Linked DNA regions of Drosophila melanogaster. The main gene of each other region encodes a partner of the protein of the gene in region 2 in a complex. Each region holds a gene or a part of one and is shown on either strand. Other genes may lie near its edges.

What was found.
Region 1: eIF3g1 (region 2) and eIF3d1 share a complex: the UniProt entries of both Drosophila melanogaster proteins name them as parts of the eukaryotic translation initiation factor 3 (eIF-3) complex.
Region 3: eIF3g1 (region 2) and eIF3f2 share a complex: the UniProt entries of both Drosophila melanogaster proteins name them as parts of the eukaryotic translation initiation factor 3 (eIF-3) complex.
Region 4: eIF3g1 (region 2) and eIF3h share a complex: the UniProt entries of both Drosophila melanogaster proteins name them as parts of the eukaryotic translation initiation factor 3 (eIF-3) complex.

Annotation. Positions count from the first base shown.
Region 1 is NT_033777.3:23,677,237-23,683,493, forward strand, and holds eIF3d1 (eukaryotic translation initiation factor 3 subunit d1), read left to right. Parts: upstream 1-2,802; 5' UTR 2,803-2,954; coding exon 2,955-3,153; intron 3,154-3,275; coding exon 3,276-3,911; intron 3,912-3,980; coding exon 3,981-4,273; intron 4,274-4,349; coding exon 4,350-4,904; 3' UTR 4,905-5,081; downstream 5,082-6,257. Other genes in the region: GILT3 (Gamma-interferon-inducible lysosomal thiol reductase 3), read left to right, coding at 174-401, 620-928, 1,002-1,115; GILT2 (Gamma-interferon-inducible lysosomal thiol reductase 2), read left to right, coding at 1,732-1,791, 1,858-2,022, 2,148-2,441, 2,500-2,604; CG16710 (uncharacterized protein), read left to right, coding at 5,267-5,342, 5,534-6,146, 6,219-6,257. UniProt on the Drosophila melanogaster protein: mRNA cap-binding component of the eukaryotic translation initiation factor 3 (eIF-3) complex, which is involved in protein synthesis of a specialized repertoire of mRNAs and, together with other initiation factors, stimulates binding of mRNA and methionyl-tRNAi to the 40S ribosome.
Region 2 is NC_004354.4:2,607,883-2,612,995, reverse strand, and holds eIF3g1 (eukaryotic translation initiation factor 3 subunit g1), read left to right. Parts: upstream 1-2,659; 5' UTR 2,660-2,750; intron 2,751-2,813; coding exon 2,814-3,623; 3' UTR 3,624-3,749; downstream 3,750-5,113. Other genes in the region: Smyd3 (SET and MYND domain containing, class 3), read left to right, coding at 4,329-4,525, 4,584-4,825, 4,893-5,026. UniProt on the Drosophila melanogaster protein: RNA-binding component of the eukaryotic translation initiation factor 3 (eIF-3) complex, which is involved in protein synthesis of a specialized repertoire of mRNAs and, together with other initiation factors, stimulates binding of mRNA and methionyl-tRNAi to the 40S ribosome.
Region 3 is NT_033778.4:6,198,343-6,203,349, forward strand, and holds eIF3f2 (eukaryotic translation initiation factor 3 subunit f2), read left to right. Parts: upstream 1-2,510; 5' UTR 2,511-2,574; coding exon 2,575-2,679; intron 2,680-2,735; coding exon 2,736-3,491; 3' UTR 3,492-3,614; downstream 3,615-5,007. Other genes in the region: CG30431 (uncharacterized protein), read left to right, coding at 4,605-5,007. UniProt on the Drosophila melanogaster protein: Component of the eukaryotic translation initiation factor 3 (eIF-3) complex, which is involved in protein synthesis of a specialized repertoire of mRNAs and, together with other initiation factors, stimulates binding of mRNA and methionyl-tRNAi to the 40S ribosome.
Region 4 is NT_033779.5:5,049,907-5,055,927, reverse strand, and holds eIF3h (eukaryotic translation initiation factor 3 subunit h), read left to right. Parts: upstream 1-2,844; 5' UTR 2,845-3,192; coding exon 3,193-3,273; intron 3,274-3,613; coding exon 3,614-4,291; intron 4,292-4,357; coding exon 4,358-4,615; 3' UTR 4,616-4,735; downstream 4,736-6,021. Other genes in the region: His3.3A (histone H3.3A), read right to left, coding at 169-297, 388-669; CG14036 (uncharacterized protein), read left to right, coding at 976-1,257; senju, read right to left, coding at 1,550-2,513, 2,572-2,689, 2,760-2,844; CG9121 (uncharacterized protein), read left to right, coding at 5,051-5,270, 5,911-6,021. UniProt on the Drosophila melanogaster protein: Component of the eukaryotic translation initiation factor 3 (eIF-3) complex, which is involved in protein synthesis of a specialized repertoire of mRNAs and, together with other initiation factors, stimulates binding of mRNA and methionyl-tRNAi to the 40S ribosome.

The DNA.
Region 1 (6,257 bases), on a different chromosome or scaffold from region 2:
ATATATACATACACGTATATATATATATATATAGGAGGCGAGCGTGTATTTGTGTGAATGTCACAGATGTGCGTGATTGTTTCCATGGAGCGGCGCAAGTGAAATGGGCAAGTTGAAAAGAGCAGTTGTGTTTGGTTTGTGAGGCTGCCAAGAGCGAAAAACGAACGCGGACAATGAATAAAATATTTGGGCTACTGTTTACCCTGTGTCTGCTGCTCGTTTGGCCCACGCCCGGAAATGGCCAGTCCCCGGATGAGTCCCGGCTCCTGGTGGCCATTCACTACGAGGCCCTGTGCCCGGACAGCATGAGCTTCATCCGGCGCAGATTGTACGATGCTCTGCAGGACAACGACTGGTGGTCGGTCACCGATCTAAAGCTATATCCATTTGGCAAGGCGGGGGTGAGTCAGCTAAGATCAAAATGATAGAATTCTTATGCATACTATAGTCATTTCTTTAGTACTCATTTCGAATTCATTAGCAGTTCATTTCGAAAACCATTTGTATTTACATTAAAAAAAAAACAGCAATAAACTGAAATACACACACACAATTTGTTTGTAGATCGTGAAATAGTTCATGTTTTTTGAGGTTTTAAACCAGAATTTGTTACGTGCAGTTCTACAACAACACATCCACTGGCGAGAGCCAAGTATTTTGTCAGCATGGCGTGGATGAGTGCGAACTAAATGCACTCCATGCCTGCATTATTGAGACCCTGGACATTCGGAAGGCCTTCAATCTGATCTACTGCATGCTGCGCTCCTATTCGAATGAGCTGGGCCCGTGCTCGAGGAGCATGGGTGTGGACGTCAGCAAGGCCAGGGAGTGTAAGGCATCCCGAACCACGGCAGAAATACTGGCGCCCTACGGCAAGGAAACCCTTAAACTGGGCATCTCCTTTGTGCCCACCATTGTGTTCGAGAATGTGAGTAACCAACCCAACCAGGCTTACATGATCAAATACCAGACTTAACTTAACATTACCCTCTGATCCGCAGGACTTTGATCCTTACGACCAGAGAAGCATTCGCAACAACTTCGAAAGACACTTCTGTCGGCAGTATCTGAAAAAGTTCAACATCAAACTGCCCACTTGTTCCGCAATTTTGTAAACTTTTATGTAATGTACTGAGTAATTTAACTGTTTCAATGTTCCAAGACCAATAAACAATAATTATAACCAACTGGAGTGTTTGCTTACTCGCTGACTCACTTGGGGCCAATAAAAATTTACATGTGTATAGTATATACATATCAGCTTATCAGTCATGTTTTTGTATACAGATTCTAATCAGAAACAGCTGTCTGGTGGTCTAAAAATAAGATTAAAACCCCGCTGCTCAGTAAGTTTTCCGTAGTCAGCGCATAAATGTAAAGGGGAAAATGCTGGTTGACAGCAGGGGCGTCGAATTGGTTGGCTAGTCACACCCTTTATCTATATATTTATATTAATTTTTTCAAAAGCGGATATATTACAGAAAAATTATAAAAAACAAGCGAAAAGTCACCCTACTATTGCAATACAAATAATTATTTTTTTTTTAACTTATATGATTTTTGAGCCCCCCTTGAGCATTTTCTAACCACGCCACTGGCCGCTTCGAATTTGACGAAACGCAGTGACAACGCTGCGCATTACAAGTCCCGGAATTATTTCAGTGTCGAGCGTTCGCTGGCGTTGAGCGGCCGAATATTTCAAGATCAGCTCGGGATTAAACTGAATTTGCCATGAGGGCGGCTGTCTTTGTGTGTCTGCTGCTGGGATGGGTGGGCGTGGCCACGCCAAGGGTAAGTGACCCAGTTGATCGGACTGAATCCCGAATTGCGACGCTCCCATTGATCGTGACTTTGCAGCGTTTGCGCGGACCGCAAGCTGACCGACTGGCGATCACCCTGTACTACGAAGCATTGTGTCCCTACTGCATGGAGTTCGTGACCACGCAGCTCAATCCCTCGATGGTCCGTCAGGATCGACTTCCATTCACTGATCTTACGCTGGTTCCTTATGGAAATGCCAGGGTAGGTTTCATTTTTCGTAGCTTAAACTAGTAGTTATAGTACAAGTACATAGTATAGCTCAATTTGAAGTTTTAGAGTGTCAATCAGCGTTAATCCGCACTTAAACTTCGCTTAATCCCCTCCAGACGAACGATGACGGAAATGTGGAGTGCCAGCACGGAGTGATGGAGTGCGAATTGAACGCGTGGCACGCCTGCATACTGGAGCACCATGACATTGCCCAATCCCTCAAGCTGATCGCCTGCATGATGAGGGGTAAGAAGAACAGGCTGGAAAAGTGCGCTGACCACTATCAAATCGACGTGGGCGATGTCAAAAATTGCAAGAAAACGCGACAGGTGAACGACATTCTGAGGAAGTACGGCAAGGAAACGGCCAAGGTCTCATTTCAGGGAGTGCCAGCCGTAGCTCTGGATAACGTGAGTTTAAATGCGAAAGAAATTCATGAAATCTAAAATAAAACTTTGTGATTTTAAGGTTTATAACGCGGATCTATCAGCAAACTTAACTGATCATTTTGATGCCATTTTTTGCGCCAAGTATAAGGAAAAGTTCAATAAGCAGCTAAATAATTGTCAATAAATATTGTGTTCATTTAACAATACATTTTTTTATTAAAAAATATTTTTTGCATTTTCTTTGTAATTAAATCGTAAAATCAGGTTCTGAAAAATGAATAGTTCGAATTTTTAGTTTTCCCGCCCAGCAGTGGCGCCATCTATGACAGCATGCTGCCAGACCTTTGAACATTCGCTACGATTTTAGTATTTTTCTTTGGCGGTGGTATATTTCAACGCGACAACGGTCCCACTCAACTATTTTCGCAACACGCGACGATACGAATTTTCCACATTTCTTTGTTGATTTCTGGAAAATCGCTGTATATAGACCGAATAGCCGACTGCAGACTGAGCACCAGGTAAACGCGCGAGATGAGCGAGACCATAAACACCGCGGCTCAGTTCCCGAGCTTCGAGAAGCCGACCGTGCAGTTCAATGAAAAGGGCTGGGGTCCCTGCGAGCTGCCCGATACGTTCAAGGATGTGCCGTACCAGCCGTTCAGCAAGAACGATCGTCTGGGCAAGATCTGCGACTGGACGAATACGTCGAACAACGACAAGAAGTACCAGAGTGAGTTTATTCCCCACCCGAAACCGACCCACAAAATACTAATCGCCGAAAGTGAGGTTAGGTAGGTGTGTCGTGGCATGATATTGTTGCTAACATATTGGTGGTTGGTATTCCATTCGCAGACAAGTATGCCTCCAGCTTTGGCACGGGCATTCAGTACTCGTACTACCATGAGGAGGACGAGACAACCTTCCACCTGGTGGACACGGCCCGCGTCCAGAAGCCGCCGCACCAGCGCGGCCGGTTCCGCAACATGAGGAATTCGCGTTCCGGTCGTGGCAGGAATGCCCGCGGTGGCCTTAATACTCACGGCATGACGACGCTCAGCGGCAAGAATGTAAAGGCCCGCGATCCGCGCCATGGTCGCGGCATGGGCAAGAAGTTCGGTCATCGCGGACCACCACCAAAGATGCGCGAATCTTCGGTGGCCGTCCGCGCCGATTGGGCATCCATCGAGGAGATGGACTTCCCGCGACTCATCAAGCTGTCGCTGCCCAACATCAAGGAGGGCGTCGATATTGTCACCTGCGGCACGTTGGAGTACTACGACAAGACCTACGACCGCATCAATGTGAAGAACGAGAAGCCGCTGCAGAAGATCGATCGCATCGTGCATACGGTGACCACCACAGACGATCCCGTCATCCGGCGTTTGTCTAAGACCGTCGGCAATGTCTTCGCCACGGACGCCATCCTGGCCACCATCATGTGCTCTACGCGATCGAACTATTCCTGGGATATTGTCATCGAGAAAGTTGGTATGTTAAATGAAATACGAAATATAATAATAATAAGAGAAATAAATAATAATTGTAACCTTATTTTAGGCGACAAGGTGTTCATGGACAAGCGTGACCACACCGAGTTCGATCTGTTGACCGTGAACGAGAGCAGCGTGGAACCACCGACCGACGACGACAGCTCATGCAACTCCCCTCGCAACCTGGCCATCGAGGCGACTTTCATTAACCACAACTTTAGCCAGCAGGTGCTTAAGACTGGAGACCAGGAACCCAAATACAAGTTCGAGGAAAGCAACCCTTTCATCAGCGAGGACGAAGATATCCAAGTCGCCAGCGTGGGCTACCGCTACAAGAAGTGGGAGCTGGGAAGCGATATTGTAAGTGTTGCATAATCCAACTTTAAAGTTGGAATATTTTTCTATATTATGTTAAACTATTGTCTTATACTTTTAGGTCCTGGTAGCGCGTTGCGAGCACGATGGTGTCCTGCAGACGCCAAGCGGCGAGCCGCAGTTCATGACTATCAAGGCACTCAACGAGTGGGACTCGAAGTTGGCCAATGGCGTGGAATGGCGTCAAAAGTTGGACACGCAGCGCGGTGCTGTGCTCGCCAACGAGCTGAGGAACAACGCATGCAAGCTGGCCAAGTGGACTGTGCAGGCCGTCCTGGCCGGGTCCGATCAGCTAAAGCTCGGCTATGTGTCGCGTATCAATCCGAGAGATCACTCGCGTCACGTCATCCTCGGCACGCAGCAGTTCAAGCCGCATGAATTTGCCACTCAGATCAACCTGAGCATGGACAACGCCTGGGGAATCCTGAGATGCATCATCGATCTGGTGATGAAGCAGAAGGATGGCAAATACCTGATCATGAAGGACCCCAACAAGCCGATCATCCGTCTGTACGACATCCCAGACAATACTTTCGACTCCGATGACTCGGACGATGGCGAGGGCGATGACGAAGGTTTCCAGCAGGTCTACAACTACGCGCACAACAAGATTTAGACGCCACGCCCCCCTACTCCTGCATCCCTTCCAGTCTTGGGCTCTTTTGCCACAACCCGCTAAGAATAACCACAACTGATGTCCTCTAAAGGAAAAGGTCATGTTATAGGCCCTAGCTTAAGCATTTGTATTCGATTTAAATTCAGATATTTCCTAGTAAATCACAGAGGGCGAAACAATACATGAATTTTTATTGGTCCAGGTCTAATGCCGGGTACTTGTGATAAAAACTTTCGACTGAAACACCGAGGTCTTGTACGTAAATGACTGACTCATTTCCCGGACTCATATATAGTAAGCTGATTGTGCGTGTCGGGCATCTAGTTAAGATTTAGACATTGTTTAAACTCTGACGGTTAAAGATGGTCTTCCTACAAAGAGTGTACATATCCTTCCTGGTCCTGCATACTCAATTGCTGATGTACCTGGCTGAGTCTGGTAATATATGTTGCAAGTACTCCACATTGTATACGTTATAACATTCAAGAAAATGATTCATTTGGATATGGGTATTTCCTTGAATTTTAAAATATAAATAGCTTTGTTTCGTCCAATCATTATCTAAACATCCAATTAAAATGACTCACATAATATAATATTTATTAATATCCAATTCTTTACTGTATCAGAATATCCGCCTTGTAATCTGGATGAGAAATGCATTAGTCTAGCCCGCTGCACATCACTCTTGCCCTTTCTGAAGCCCCACAACATGACGCCAGCCGAGAAGGCGGTATTCGAGGACAGATATTGCGGCTATGGCCCCAAGGGGCAGGAATTATTGGACAGAGTTCTCATCTGCTGCCCAAATATGGGACACATTTTGCCAAATACCCAGATATGTGGACCAATCATGCCGGCTTATCGAATTTTCGGAGGAGAGGAGACGCAACCCAACGAGTTGCCTTGGATGGCCCTGATTCTATATGCGCATCGCAGCCGTTCGGTGTGGAATGAAAGACTCGTGTCCAGGTGCGCTGGATCCCTGATCACAAACCGCTATGTGCTGACCGCAGCCCATTGTCTGAGGATAACGGGATTGGATCTCAGGAGGGTGCGCCTTGGCGAGCATAACATTTTAAGCAATCCCGACTGCGTCACCCATATTAATGGTAGGGAACACTGCGCTCCAGAGCATCTGGAAATTGACGTCGATCTGAGTATCAAGCATAGGCACTACATGGTCTTCGAGGAAAGGCCCTACAACGACATCGCCCTGCTGCGATTGAAGTTTCCAGTACGGTTAGTTGCACTTGACCTGTCATATCTTTTACTACATATATATATATATATATACATTTCATATGTCTTTAGCTATACCGCTCAAATCAAACCCATCTGTGTTCAACTTGA
Region 2 (5,113 bases):
GCCACGAATGAGAAGGAAATGTTAGCCATTATCTGGGCTCTAAAAAAGCTAAAAATTTACCTTTACGGTAAAGCAAAGGTGAAAATCTTTACTGACCATCAGCCTTTGACCCATTCTCTCAGTAGTTGGAATGGAAATGCGAGGATTAAGAGATGGAAAGCATACCTTGAGGAATATGACTACGAAATTTTCTACAAGCCAGGCAGAGAAAATACTGTAGCCGACGCTCTGTCCAGAGGACCGACAGTCGAACAAATTAACACAGTAGCCTCAACAATGCACAGCTCTGACAGTTCGAGCCATGGGCTGATACCTAGCGTTGAAGCCCCGATAAACGCATTCAAGAATCAAATTTTCTTCAGGGAGTCCGAGTCAGAGAACTACTCATTTAGCATTCCATTCCCGACATTTCAAAGGCATTTAGTAGATCGCAACTTGTTCACACCCGATAGTCTCTTGTCAGATTTGAAAGAATATCTTAACCCATCCGTGATTAATGGAATTTTCACATCCGAGGATGTAATGGGGAAAATTCAAATTCTCTACCCCATCCATTTTCAGGGTTTCAAGATTAGATTCTGCCAAAGCAAAGTCAAAGACCTTGTTAACGAAGCCGAACAAGAGGAAGAAATACTTAGGACACATAACAGAGCACACAGAAATGCTGTGGAAAATAAAGCTCAGTTGTCCGAAAGAGTATACTTTCCTAAAATGAGGAAAAAAGTTTCGGCTATCGTGAATCAGTGTTTGGTGTGTAAGACTGCTAAATATGACAGACATCCCACGCATCCAGAAATAAGACAAACTCCCTTGCCAGAATACCCCGGACAAATTATTCATATTGACATCTACTCGACAGAACGACATCTGGTGCTCACGGCGATTGATAAATTTTCCAAACTGGCCATGGGAAGAGTTATCAAATCCAAAGCTGTAGAAGACATTAGGAAAGCCCTAAGAGATATCGTGTTTTATTATGGAGTGCCTAAATTAATAGTAATGGACAATGAAAAGTCCCTCAACTCAGCCTCTATCAAATTCATGTTGACAGACCAGCTGGGTATTGAGCTCTACAAAGCACCTCCGTATAAGAGTACAGTAAATGGACAGATAGAAAGATTTCACTCCACACTCTCTGAAATAATGAGATGTTTGAAAGGAGATGGAACACATAGGGGCTTCGAGGAACTTCTCGATAGGGCCATCTATGAATATAACTACACTGTCCATTCTGTCACAAAAAAACGACCTCTAGAGGTGTTCTTCGGCAGGATAGCTACCGTAGCTCCAGAAAAATATGAACAAGCTAGACTGGACAATATAGACCGACTTAGGCAAAAACAGGAAACCGACATAGAATACCACAACCGGACAAGAAAGCCCATAAAAACCTATATCAAAGGGCAAGAAATTTTCGTTAGGGTTAATACAAGATTAGGTTCTAAGTTATCAAGTAGATTTAGGAAGGAACTAGTTAAGGAAGACCGAAGTACCACAATATTAACAGAATCAGGGAAATTAGTACATAAAAGTAACATAAGATCATGATTGCTTCAGAATAATTACTGTGGCCACATCGATAGACAAGTAGAACATAGAAACATTAAACATACTGATTAACGTAACCACGAGAATTAAATTTGAAACGATTCGACTTTGACAGACGAGTTGGCCATAGGTTTGCAGAATTAGATTGGGCTCGTGAAAGAAGAGATTGCGTTGTGAATGCGTTTCTGCGGAGCGAGTTTAAATTGAATGAGACCAGTAGCCTACTTGAAAACAATATACCGATTTCTGCCTTGACGGTCAAATAAATGTTAAAACTTTCACACGTTCTCGCTTTACACAACGGAACTACAATTTGAATGCCATTGAAATCTCCATATTGAATCAGTTAATTCCTTATTTCTTATATTTTAAAACATGATCAGTAAAGGAAACTAATAATAATAAATAAATAATAATTTAATTTGAATAATAATAAAATTTACCAATTAAAGACGAAATGTACGGAATCAATGCCTTCTGCAAAGGTTCCAATGGTCTAAAAATATGTAGATATAAATTCATTAGTAATTTAGTAAAAACCAGAATTTTAATAGAAGCAATCAAGTTGTCAATGCAGAACACATCCGAGTTGCACAAACCTCGAACGCACGCAACAATAAACACCTGGCATTCAAACCATTAATGCTGTGCCCAAACTACCACGAATCACCCCACCAACGATGCGACTCAAAAACATCCCATCCTTATGATGACCGCTCGAGGACAAGCGTCAATTAAGAGGGGAGGAGTTATTGCCCTGCAATTGATTCTCTAACATCTTGTGGTTCCACATAGTCTCCGCTGCCATCAACGCCAACGAACGGTTAAGCGCGACATCGACACTTCTGCGCTGCGCCGCGGCCGACGCCTGCTGCGCCGCTGCCGACGACTTCACTTGATTGCTAGGGACTTAGGGAAACATTTTGTACGCTAGATTTAGTTTCAAATGATAAATTGCAATAAACGGTCGCTTGCGATCTTCAAAATCAAATCGATAACTTATTAACTTATATGTAACGAAATTTCAAATGGTATATTCCAAAAAGTGCAAAGTGGTATTAGCGGTATATTTTTTGGACACACACGGCATATTTTTGTGACCGCGGCAGGGTAACACTCTTTTGTTGCTGATTAAAAATCCGCTTAACTCGTGGCGAAATTTGCATTTACGATTTCGCATACAAATCGCGTTGAAAATCAGAGTGAGTGCACCCCAAGCAAGCGCCCAGTGTAGCCCCACTCACTGCGCCCTCAATTCCTTTCAGATGCCGGGCGTTGAAACGATCAAATCCTCCTGGGCGGACGAGGTGGAGCTCGACTATGGTGGACTACCTCCGACGACGGAGACGGTGGAGAACGGACAGAAGTACGTGACGGAGTACAAGTACAACAAGGACGACAAGAAGACGAAGGTGGTGCGCACGTACAAGATATCCAAGCAGGTGGTGCCCAAGACGGTGGCCAAGCGACGCACCTGGACGAAGTTCGGCGACTCGAAGAACGACAAGCCCGGCCCCAACTCGCAGACGACCATGGTGTCCGAGGAGATCATCATGCAGTTCCTCAACTCCAAGGAGGACGAGAAGGCCAACGATCCGCTGCTAGATCCCACCAAGAATATTGCCAAGTGCCGTATCTGCAACGGTGAGCATTGGTCGGTCAACTGCCCGTACAAGGGCACGGCGATGGACACGAATATGATGGAGAAGAAGGCTTCGGCAGCCGCCGCGGCCGCCGTCGATGCGCCCAAGTCCGGCAAGTATGTGCCGCCGTTCCTCAAGGACAGCCAAAAGGGCGCGCTGGGAATGCGCGGACGCGACGACACGGCCGCCATTAGGATATCGAATCTGTCGGAGTCGATGACCGAGGCGGATCTCGAGGAGCTGGTGAAGAAGATTGGACCGCAGAGCAAGATGTATCTCGCCCGCGACAAGAACACCGGACTCTGCAAGGGATTCGCCTACGTGCACTTCAAGCAGCGCAAGGATGCGGCCGCCGCCATCGAGATCCTCAATGGACACGGCTACGACCACTTGATCCTCAGCGTCGAATGGTCGAAACCCCAGAACAATTAGTTAGTCCCGTTCCCACTACCCGCGTTTACTGCTCATAGGAGTCCGTTCGAGTCGATCACACAATTTGTCCCTATGCTATGCTAAGTTTGCTACAAATAAATCTTAAAACAGCCCCCATGGGCACCGAAAACCAGATGACTATGCTCTGCAAGGATACAATGGCATCTAGAATCGTATATTTTTCATATTTGATATAACTTAATCGCTCTTCTTTAGTTTTGCGGACCAACCAACACAAATGCTTTCGACTTTTGCTCTAATATAGCTTTCTCCCTCGTTTTAAAGGACGCAAGGCCACCAAATCGTAGACACTGGGAACAACATATAAAAGAAATATTTTTTATTTGTTACTTAAAAAACTTGAATATGATTTGTTAAGTGTATTTTTTAACGACATGCAGCTACCCACATATGGTTAACAAGTTAACCTTACGCGGTGCCCACTGTAGAAAGCATGATTCCAGCCGATCTGGCAACGCCATCGTTTGCATGCGAATAAACACCATGGTGTTGTTGTTTTTGTGTTTGCCAGCGATTTGCGTAAATTGTGTTTGTTTTTGTGGCCAAAAATAGAAATCAGATGCCGCAAAATATTCAAAAAGCATTCGAAACAATATTTTTGATCTTCAGGTGTGCGCTCATTTTCAGTCGTCAGTGAGACGGGCCCCCAGGCGAAAGTCTTTGTTGTTGCTCCGTTCGAGCGAAATGGCCACCGCCACCGTTGGTTCATCCAGATCCGCAACCACATCCGCAACCGCATCCGCATGCTCATCCAAATCCAAGAACCTAAAGAATCCGGCGCCGCAAATAAAAAGGGGACAGCGGATCCTCACGGAGAAACCATTCGCCTTCGTCTTGAAATCACAGTACCGCCTGGAGCGGTGCGATAACTGCCTGGAGGCGTAAGTTTCGCCATGTGGCTGCCTTTGTGAGCTATCTAATTTGGGTTCGTCGTTGCAGGACCAAGGTGCTGAAGTGCTCCAACTGCAGGTATGTGTCCTACTGCCACCGCTCATGCCAGATGCAAGCTTGGGGCCAGCACAAGCACGAGTGTCCTTTCCTCAAGAAGGTGCATCCTCGAGTTGTGCCCGATGCTGCCCGAATGCTCTGCCGACTGATCCTGCGCCTGGAGCACGGCGGAGACCTGATCCGCGGCTATTACACCGAGCACGGCTCCCGCAAGTTTCGCGATCTCATGTCCCGTGAGTAAACCAAAGGGCGAACCGCTTTGCATGGTCATTCCTAGCTAATCCACGTTAACGTGCACAGATTACGCCGAAATCAAGAACGATCCCATGCGACTGGAGCACTTGGACTCGCTGCATGCCGTCCTCACCGATATGATGGCCGAGAGTCCCAGCACGGTGCCAAACAAGACGGAACTGATGAGCATCTATGGTCGCGTAAGTGTGCAGGCACCTGTGCGAGCGAGCAGGAGCGGATTGGGCGATTCATCGCACTGGTACTGAATCGAGAAACCAAGACGCTTG
Region 3 (5,007 bases), on a different chromosome or scaffold from region 2:
ATAAACTATATATCTTCGTGATCTTCGGCTCTTGTCGAACGCTAGTTTGTTAATTCAAGTTGCCAAACCCAATCTTGCGCTGCGACTCTGTCTCTAGAATCTGTATGGTGAATTTTAACCTCCTAGCTTTTATAGTTCCTGAGATCTGCACATTTATACGGACAGACGGACATGGCCAGATCGACTCGGCTATTGATCTCGATCAAGAATATATATACTTCATATGGTCGGAAACGCTTCCTTCTGCCTGTTACATACTTTTCAAAGAATTTAGTATACCCTTTTACTCTACGAATAACGAGTATAATAATGAAATTTTGCGTTCGCATTTCTACCATCTGTGTAGCGGGTATCTGATAGTCGGGGAAGTCGACTGTAGCAGTCTACCTTTTTTTTTAATATTGTTAAATAGATATTGATAGATACTTATATATAACTTTATCTTCACTACGGCCGGACAAAGTTCATTGGTTTAACAGCACGTACCTTCCCATAATCCATTTATGTTTTCAAATAATTAATTTTAGAAAAATAATTAACTTTTCAGAACTGGTTACTTCAATCGAGTTATTTAATCCACACGCAATGATATGTCGAACGTGACATGTTGGACGTGACAATATTATTTCCATGTATAATGATTCGAGGAAAAGATTCAGACGCTGCAAAAAGTTAATATTCCTGTTTTAAAACCAACAATTTTTGAATTTCTTAATATTTACATGGCAACTAAAGTAATATATAATTTTTAAGAATCGCAGTAAAAGAAAATAATAAAATGTACTTTTAGTATTGTGTGTTTCTTTTATAGTAGATTTATAATCGAAGAGATCGATGGGAAATTTAAAAAAATTACAAAAAATTATATAAATTATTTTAAGTTTTTAGATATCAATCTTACGTCCCATTACTTTATTATTATATCACATTTTGCAACAATTGTTTGACACAAGAGTATGTAACAATGTTAATTCGTTAGATTAAATGTTCATTCAAACTCTTTAATAATAAGGCTTAACTCGGACTCCAAAGCTGTTAATGGTACTAATTTTTATATTTTCCAAAAAGAATATAAAACTATCGCCTTACTAGGTGTACTTTTTCTTAGCGTTACACTTGTCGCTTTCGGAAATAATTTGGAGGCATCTTGATGGAGGTTCAAGTTCACACTTAATTTGTGATTTGTGCTCACGGTCTGCATTCATTAAATCTCTGCTTATGTTTAACATGGTTGCCATTTAAGGAATTTACATTTTTAGTACTTAATAAATAAATTAACATTCTTATCCAGCCCATTTTGCATTTACATTAACCACATATGATTAATTAAAGCTTATGAAATCCGTATAAAAATTTAAATCAACGATTTTTAAGAATAAACTTAAATTTACGTTTTAGAGTAACATAATTTTAGTGGTGTTGTTAGAATCTGCATGCTTAATGCACTCCCTAGATAAGTTCCCGAGATCTCTACATTCATTTAGATAGGCAGACAGATGCACGGTAGGAGGATTTACTTTACAAGACGGGATACGCTTCCTCCTACCTGACACATCCTTTTCTAGCAATCTATCTAGTTTACCCTTATGCTTTACGACCGACAGGTATAAGATGGAAATTGCCGAGGATTGAATAAAATATTCCGTTATCGAGCTAAAACCGTTTTAAGAAGCGGGAGTTTTACAATCGATTCTTCTTGCTTCAAACAAGACCTGCGTGTAAGATCTACGCCGTAGATGGCCGATTTTTATAATGCAATATGTTGGGCTTATAGCAATATGCATATTTGGTTATTCATCGATGAATTTACTTTGCAGGGAATAGTTTTTAAATTAAAAGTCTTGTACATTTTCTAATAAAATATACACTCGACATAAAAGAAGAATTATCACGAATTTGGGTAACAATATTCATTGACGGCTATATAAATATATTTTTTTAAAATATTAAAAATATATAAATTAGTTCCCATGCAAAATGGCCTCATTGGTTTTGCTATGTAAACGTTTTACCAGTCTGATTTGTTTACCACCTTAACTGAGTTTTTAATATAGGGCGCCAATTGAAATTTGTATGAGTATGAAATTAAAGTCATTATGCCGTATGCGAAATATGGGAGGAGCAAGGAACACTGCCATTGATACTTGGTGAGATTCCCATTTCACAAGGTATTGATACACGAAATACCCATGGCTATCCGTAACAAACTCATGCACGTAAATTAAGAGTCGTTTTAACAGACATTTACTAAATTTTAAACTATATACATATATGGTAAAAAGGCAGAATGTTTTTAATTTTTGTTATTATGTTCTTATAGCATACACAACTGTAAAATAATGTATGATGCTTAATTTAAAATTATTTTAAGCTTGTTTTTTCTGTTTACCATTTCAAAATGTTTCTAAATAGGCAAGTTTCTAAATAGCAAGGCAACGAAATAGGTGAGCACATTTTGGCACGTGCCCTTTTAAGTTATATTTACATTTTACAACACTGGATCGAGGGGAGGCACAAGCGCAGCCAAGTTTGCTTTGCTAAGTTTCTTTTCCAACTTAATTTTTTTTGTAACTCATGATGTCTAGGAATTTTAGCATGCGAGCTAAGGTGTATCTAAAGCCGTTGGTGTTTTTCCAAATTATTGACGCATACGATCGCCGACCAAAAGGTGACAATCAGGTAGGTGTGCGCGCATTCATCTCCTGTCCACTAATCTTGTAATGATCAAACCAAAGGTTATGGGCACTTTGCTGGGTCGCAACAAGGAGGGCCACATCGAGATCACAAACTGTTTTACTGTGCCGCACAAGGAGCATTCGGAGAACAAACGCATTGATCTGGATATGGCATATGCCTCCGAGGTCCTAGAGCTAAATATGTTCGCCTATCCGAACGAGCGTGTGCTGGGCTGGTTCTGCACTGGGAAATCGGTGTCCCGCTCCGCGTCCCTGATCCACGACTATTATGTCAGAGAATGCTGCGAAGGACAGCCACTGCACCTGCTAGTGGATGCAGCCCTGAAGAACCAGCGACTCTCGACCCGACTGTACTGTGCTGTGGAGATGGGAGTGCCTGGTGGCACCAAAGGACTGATGTTCTCATTAGTTCCACTGGAGATTAGCAACGAAAATTCCGATTTGGTGGCTCTGCGTTGCATAGAAAAGCAATCGCAGCAACAGGCAAGCAAGCAAATGGAGCGCTTCGTCCCAGAGTTGGCTCAAGTGGTGGATGCCACTAGGGATATGCAACATCGCCTTGACTTGGTGCTGCGCTACATCAACGATGTCTTGGCCAGGAAGAAAAAACCTGACAACGTAGTCGGGAGATCCCTTTACGCCGCTCTCACTGCCGTGCCGCTTTTGGACTCGGACAAATTTCGCGTCATGTTTAATACTAACTTGAGGGATATGCTCATGGCCATCACTCTTTCCACAATGATAAAAACACAGCTGGAGATCAGCGAGAAACTGTCTTGCATGCAGGATCAGTGAACAATGACAAAAAACTGACTGAATTGACTGAATCAATCACTTAATTGTTATTTTGGGTGCCTTTTGCTATTTACACCACCTAATAAATTGAACTTTCATTAAAAGGAGGATGTAGGTCACACTAAAGCAAGCCTTCGGTAGAAATTATTAAATTAGTATCGGCTCCTGAACTTTGGAGTCTAGAAACATCGCATCCAGCGATTAAGATCATTATAAGCTCGTGCCGAAAACAAATGATTTTCGTTAAGGCTTCCCCCGTTCTACACAGTTGCGTTGCCCGAAAACCTTATAGGCAACGCTTGATCGGCATTCTTTTCCAGCATCCCGATCTTAGTCCCTTTGGTAAGTGATTTTCAGAGAAAGCGAGTCATTTCGCCAACTCCTTTGGCCGTTTAAGCACCAAAAAGTTTGCGGTAAATACAACAACAGTGCTGGGAAACCCGCGGCGGAATGATGATCTCTACGGACGGTGATAAGGTCCAGTACAGATCTATTTCGGTCTGTTCAAATCTCGACGAAGAGGGCACGGCGGAGGATGGTAGTGGAAAGGTGGTGGGGGTGTCGGGGATGTGGACCACCCAAATAATGCCGAGATAATAACGCCTTATCGCGGTTCAGGGACAGTCGGCGGATGTCCACCGGGGCAATCAATTAGCTGGAACGAACTGAAAATTAGCAAACGTTGACGTTGACCGTCGATAGTAGCCCTACGACACCCCTCTCCTCAGACGAATCTCCCGTTGTCTCTCTGCGCCCCCACCCCTCAGACGAACCGACGCCTCCGCCGCCTCTGACTTATCGCTCAAGCCAAGGGCTATCGGTGTGCCCCGGTCGCCTTTCCTGATAGACATCGCTGCTCTGAGGAGTGGATTAGATGCGGATCCACACCCTCAGACGTCCAGCGACCGGCGATCCGAGCAGACGCACGAAGTATTAAGCCTGTGGTAAAACCGTAATGAGATCCGATTTCAAAATGAAAACCCAAGTAGACTGAGCTAAGACTACAACGCAAGGAAAACAACTATGCCAATCGTCCGTATAGATCGGGGCTTCCTTGATTGAACTCACAGTGTAAACCGCGATCGTCCGTCCGGATTTCGGCAACTAAGTATTATGCTCTCGCTGCTGCCGCACCACCCGCTCGTCTGCCGCTGCTGCCTGCTGGAGCAGCCGCCGCTCTACCACAGTCTCTATGACGCCTCTAGCCAGCTGGCGGTGGAGCTGAAGGCCCTGGCTCCCGCCCTGCGCCTTGAGCACGGCGACAACCTCACCGATGTGATATGCGACCTGTGCCTTCGTCGCCTGCACGACGCCCGCGACTTCCAGCGGCGGTGCGAGCACTCCGAACAGGTGCTACGCATGCGGCACGAGCACTGGAAGCACACGGTGGCCGTGGGAGACGCCTTGGCCCTGGACGATGTGCTTGAGTGCCTGGAGCGAGAAGTGGGCAGCCTGGAGGGACCGATGTCTGTGCCTCTGCAAGCAAGTAAGCCGGTGGCCCATGTGGCGCCCTTAA
Region 4 (6,021 bases), on a different chromosome or scaffold from region 2:
AAGTATAGATAGACCTAAGTACTAAGCGGCGGCAGCTGCGGCCGGGGGTTTGGTTTTCCGCTTCTCCACCTCCACCTCTAGCTCCGAGTTCCCCCCTCCAAGCGACAGCTGTGGGTTGGTAGTTTTGCCGCCACTGCTTTTCCAATCCAAGATGGCGGTCATGGGCATTTAGGCCCGCTCGCCACGGATGCGTCTGGCCAGCTGGATGTCCTTGGGCATAATGGTGACGCGCTTGGCGTGAATGGCGCACAGATTGGTGTCCTCGAACAGACCGACCAGGTACGCCTCGCTGGCCTCCTGCAAATTGCGCATTTGAAATGGGGGAGAGACGCATTATTACATGACCGTATGAAATAGTCACGGTGCAGGGAGTGCTGTACACCATACCTGTAGGGCTCCAATGGCCGCCGACTGGAAGCGCAGATCGGTCTTGAAGTCCTGGGCTATCTCGCGCACCAGACGCTGGAACGGCAGCTTGCGGATGAGCAGCTCCGTGGACTTCTGGTAGCGACGAATCTCACGCAGGGCCACCGTTCCAGGACGGTAGCGATGTGGCTTCTTCACTCCGCCGGTGGATGGCGCCGATTTACGGGCCGCCTTGGTGGCCAGCTGCTTGCGGGGCGCCTTGCCTCCGGTCGATTTACGGGCTGTTTGCTTGGTACGTGCCATCGTTTACCTGGTAATTAAGTGGTTTTGAGCAGATTTGACAATTGACCGAACTCTATGAAATTTTCAAGCTGAATGAAAAGTAAAAGGGAGGGACGGGGTGGTTTACGCGCGTCTGCTCAGTGTGACCCTATATTCATCGGGGGTATTCCGTATAAGGTCAATATCTTGACAGCTGGTTTGAAAAATAAATAAATCGAAAATTCCTTACTTCCGATAACACAACCGATAACTAAAACTTTAAAACATAGCGGTACCTTAAGCTTTATGAATTTGTTGTTTTGACAAACGGCTCTTGACTTTTTCAAAATGTCCGATTTCGAGTACGGAATTTGCCCTTACGACAAATCGCACCGCATCTTGCTCTTCCGGATGCCCAAGCACTTAATTAAGTGCGAGAAGAACTACTGTGGACCGCCGCTGCAGACCTGCAAGTACAACGCCACACACCGAGTCCAGGACATGGAGAAGCATCTGAAGGAGTGTGACTACTATCTCCGCAGCATCGAAAACCAGGCGGTGCAGATAGCGCTTCGTAGTCGCATACCGCCCAAACAGGAAGATGGACATGATGTGGACACACCATTTTAGGCTAAGACAAGCAGGCATCCAAATATACCATGTACATATGTGATAGTATATGAACCATAAAATAAAAAGCTTCTTGAAGAAGCATGCACAATATTCGTTTGATTGCATTTATGTTCTGATTAAAATAAGAATCTTAAACTAGAGGAGCAAAAGTTTTGGTATTTACAAGCCTGTTGCTATTGCATTGCACAAAGCCTGGGGTCAAATACATTCGTCTGGCGTTTAAAACATTTGCAGGCACTTTTCCACAACTATTTACAGTCTAAGATTACGTCTAGGACAAGCTACAGCATTACACCATATCGAGGTCCGATTCTGCCGCTTCCTCGTCGATCAGCTTTCGTTTATCCGTTGATTTGGTCGTGGCATCACTTAAATTGGACAGCGGACGCACCTTGCCCAAATTAACCACCGGGCTTTGGGTGTAGAGATAGATGGCGTAGGATACAACCGCGATGGCCAGCGCGGTGTTCATGTAAATGGGTATGGAGAAGAGGAAGTAGCATAGGACTGCCGTGAAGAGCAACTCCAGAGCGCTCGCGAAGGTCTTTAGAATGGAGTTCATGTACTTGAGGAAGAAACTCGTGACAATGCCAATAGCCGCATTGTTAACAATAATGATTAGCACGCTAAAGCGCATAATACTGCCCAGATTCTGCGGACTAAAGGCATCAAGGAGCTCGCCGCGCAGCAAGAGGATGACTGCATTGCAGACAATCGAGTCCAGGTACATGAAGACATTCTGTACAAAGATATTCACATCGGCTCCCTTATCTTTAAGCAGATACTCATTGTAAACGCCCGCCAGACAAGAGCAAATTGTCTGTGCCAGAATGAAGACGGCACTCAGGCTAAAATCGAAGCCGGACATGTTCTTGCCGTGAGCGTGCGTCTCTGCAGAAGTTGTTTTATTATGTGATTGCAGCTGCTGCTGTATGGCTGCGGACTCGCTGTCATCATTCGCATCGCTGTAGAAGCTGCCGAAATCGACCTGCTTCATCATACAGCCGAGTGTCAGCAGTATGAGGGAGATCCATTGCCTTTGCGACAGGTACTTCTTGAAGATAATTTGGAATAGTATGCCCGTGACAACGACACGTAGCTGCAGTAGCAGATAGTAGGTGGTGGGATCGAATGTGGCCAAGTTGACAAAGGCCAAATTGTTGTACAGGCAGTAGAGAAAGGCGGGCACCATGTACAAGCCCAATACATTCCGATCCTTCTGAACATCGCGCACCAGGGAGCGTAGGTTGTTGCTGTGAATGAAATCGCGGTTTAATAGCGAGACAAAGGAGCGCCTCCACTCCTACTCACTCTCGGCAATACAGACAGGTGGAGACTATCAATTTAAAGACCTCGGTTAGCAGCACAACCGTGACGGTATTGTAGCCATAGGAGTTATTCGATTCCTGAGATGCTGTGACAAAGATGCCTGCAAAATAGACAGGAATTAGGGTGCGGCTTTGGCTTGCGTAAAAAGCCTTAATAAGGCAGCTGCATACCCTGTCCTATGAATAGGGACATGTACAACAGGAAGATCACAAATGTGAGCTTGGTGGGGAACAATTCACGCCAATTAGTTGACATTTCTGCGGTCTTCGTACTGCCAGCGTTGCGTTGCTAATGCGAAGAGAACTAAGACTAGCTACAAGTTGCGGCAACCGCAGTTATCAGTACCGTTCCGCTCGTTCGTGACAAGTGGGCCGTTTCTCGGTTTTCTAGGAAGTACAATTTTGAGTTTGTTTCTGTTGCTTTTCCACTGATAAACAAAATATATTTTGGGCCTTTTTTTATCGCTCGCCCGAACAGCTGATTTTAAAGCAGTGCACGCTTTTCAACACTTCAACCCACACAAAAATTGTGGTGTTGCGAAACGCCCTTTTACCACTGCAGCCGAGTTCACGTCGTGGGTCTTTTCGCTTACAATTCGTCAACATGGCAAATCGCGCAAATCGTCATGCTGCTCGCACCGAGGATTCGGATAATACCATTAACTACGTCCAATGCGACGGACTGGTGAGTAGTGCTGTTGGCCAAAAGACCTGGCCGAGATTGGCCCGTGGGAACCGGCGCGAAAGCCGGAAAAGTTAATGCCACGCGCTGTCTCAGAAATTTGCGTGCTTTGTGTGTGTTTGTATGGGTGTTCGTGAGGACATGGGCGTAGAGCTATAAGGAAAAGGGGGCCGGTCTCTTCATTACCATAGCACAAAAAACTTCAGTCAAATGTTTTCTTCAGAGAAACTATTAAAAGAAAGTCCGAAATATATCTACTTTCCACGCCCCTGTTCAAATGCAAATAGTTGTCTGTCGCTAATTGATTTTGGAACATAATTACTACGATCACTTTACCTTGCAGGCCGTCATGAAGATGGTGAAGCACTGCCATGAGGAGTCGAGCAACATGGACCTCGCCCAGGGCGCCCTGCTCGGTCTGGTGGTAGACAAGTGCCTGGAGATCACCAACTGCTTCCCGTTTCCCAAGAGCGGCGATGAGACCATGGACGAGGAGATGTACCAGCTGACCGTGATGCGTCGCCTGCGTCGCGTCAACGTAGATCATCTCCATGTGGGCTGGTACCAGAGCTCCGACGTGGGCAACAGCCTGTCAATGGCTCTGTTGGAATCGCAGTACCACTACCAGACCAGCATTGAAGAGTCCGTCGTTGTCGTCTACGATACGCAGAAGTCATCCCGCGGATTCCTGTGCTTGAAGGCCTACCGCCTTACTCCGCAGGCCATTCAGATGTACAAGGATGGCGACTTCACTCCAGAGGCATTCCGCACCCTGAAGGTCGGCTACGAGAACCTCTTCGCCGAGATTCCCATTGTGATCAAGAACTCGCCGCTGACCAACATTATGATGAGCGAGCTGAACGAGCTGCTGCCCGAGGACAAGGGGCACAACTTCCTGGACCTGGGCACCGCCACCGTATTGGAGAACCAAATGCGTAGCCTGATCGAGCGCGTCGACGAGTTGTACCAGGAGGCAGTGCGCTATAACAAGTACCAGCAGGTGGTCTTCAAGCAGGATACGGTACGTAGCAATATAATTAAATATGTAAAAATTCCTAATCGCTTTCCTTGCATTTATATTTTTTAGGAGAAGCACCGTGCTCTGGCTAAGCTGGCCGCCGAGAACGCCGTTCGCACATCGAAGGGAGAGCCCACGGTGCCAGAGGAGGAAGTGATCAAACAGTTCCGCCCCATGACTGCGCCCAACCGCCTGACGGCCACCATAACCTCTGGCCAGATCAATACCCACGCCCAGCATATCGCACAATTCTGTTCGCAATCGCTGGCCAAACTCTTCATCACGGAATCGCTGCAAATTGCCAAGGAAGCAAAGGAAACCAAATAGATTAGCTAATGTTAAGCGTTTTTTAAGCTGAGGCAACAACATTCACTACCCACAAACATAGCAACTGCACACACAGACGTCGAAAATAAACCAAACAAGCGATGAGTGGGCTTGGAAGCGAACTGCCAGCTGATTTCTTCTTTATTGTACTCTCCATTTGCTCAATAGAATGGCCAATTCAAACCGCCCCAAAAAAAGAAAACCACCACCCGCTATGCAGCCAAAAATTGGTACTGCTTCTGCGCACGCCGGATGTTTGGTTTCACTTCTCGATGAGACTTTCCGGGGGAGTGTTGCTGCCACTGACGACATCGACGCACTTTTCACACCACCCCACAAGCAGCTGCTTATCATTTGGTTTGTTCTTTTCGCTTCGCCTTTTCGCTAACCAGCTTCAGTTAGCCTAACTAACTAAATTACTAACCCGATGGCAAAATGCTGTCCTACGACCTCAACGAACGCCTGCTAACCGCCGTACAGAGCGGAGATTTCGAGCAGGCTCTGGGCTGCATCATGCAAGGTGCCCAGGCCTCGTATGTATCGCCCACTTGCGGACGCACTGCCGTGGGCACGGCGGCCATTCTGGGCGATGCCGAACTGTTGGAGCTGCTGCTTCAATCCTGCGAGGAGCCCGAGCTGAATGTCTTTCATCAGTGTGAGTTTTCCTTCCACTGGTTCGTTCTGAAAACAAACGAAACTAACTTTCGGAAAATTTAATTGCATTAAAAACAAACACATAGAGAACATTAGAAAAAAAAATGCTGTGGGTAAGCTAGATAATGTGTATGTATATTGTTCAAAGGTAAAACATAAACATAAATAATAATAATAATAATCAATGGATCCAGGAAACGAATTAGTTAGATACAAGAAAATTTTAAATGAAGTGCCAGTTCGTTTGTTCACTTTTGGAGTATATATAATACTATACAGAATTTATTATAATTTTAATACTCCCACTAAGTTGAATGATCCAATTTTAGTCGGTTAATTTTGTACGTACTCAATTTCTTGTTGTGCATTCTTTTCTCTTTTCGGGTCTATCCAACATAATGCAAGCACAGAGAAAAGTAAGTGAAGGCCGGAAAACCGGTTATCGGTTGGCCAGTTAACCGGCTGATAACAATGCTCGACAATGGGTTCCAACTGCAACCAGACACAGTAGACACGGCTAGTTCTATGTGGCAAGTAACGAAAATCTTGTCAAACCTGAAACCTGTACTTCATACTGTCTTAGCAAAAAGATTTTCAAAAACTGCTTTCTTAGAACGTTTCACGTTGGTTTTGAATTGCAGCGAACACGGATAGCCTCGAGATCGAGCGGACGCCCGAGGGTATGGAGAAACTGGAGTGGGTGGATGAGTTCGAGAATAGTGCGGAGAATGGAGCGGGCAGCGGCGAAGAGG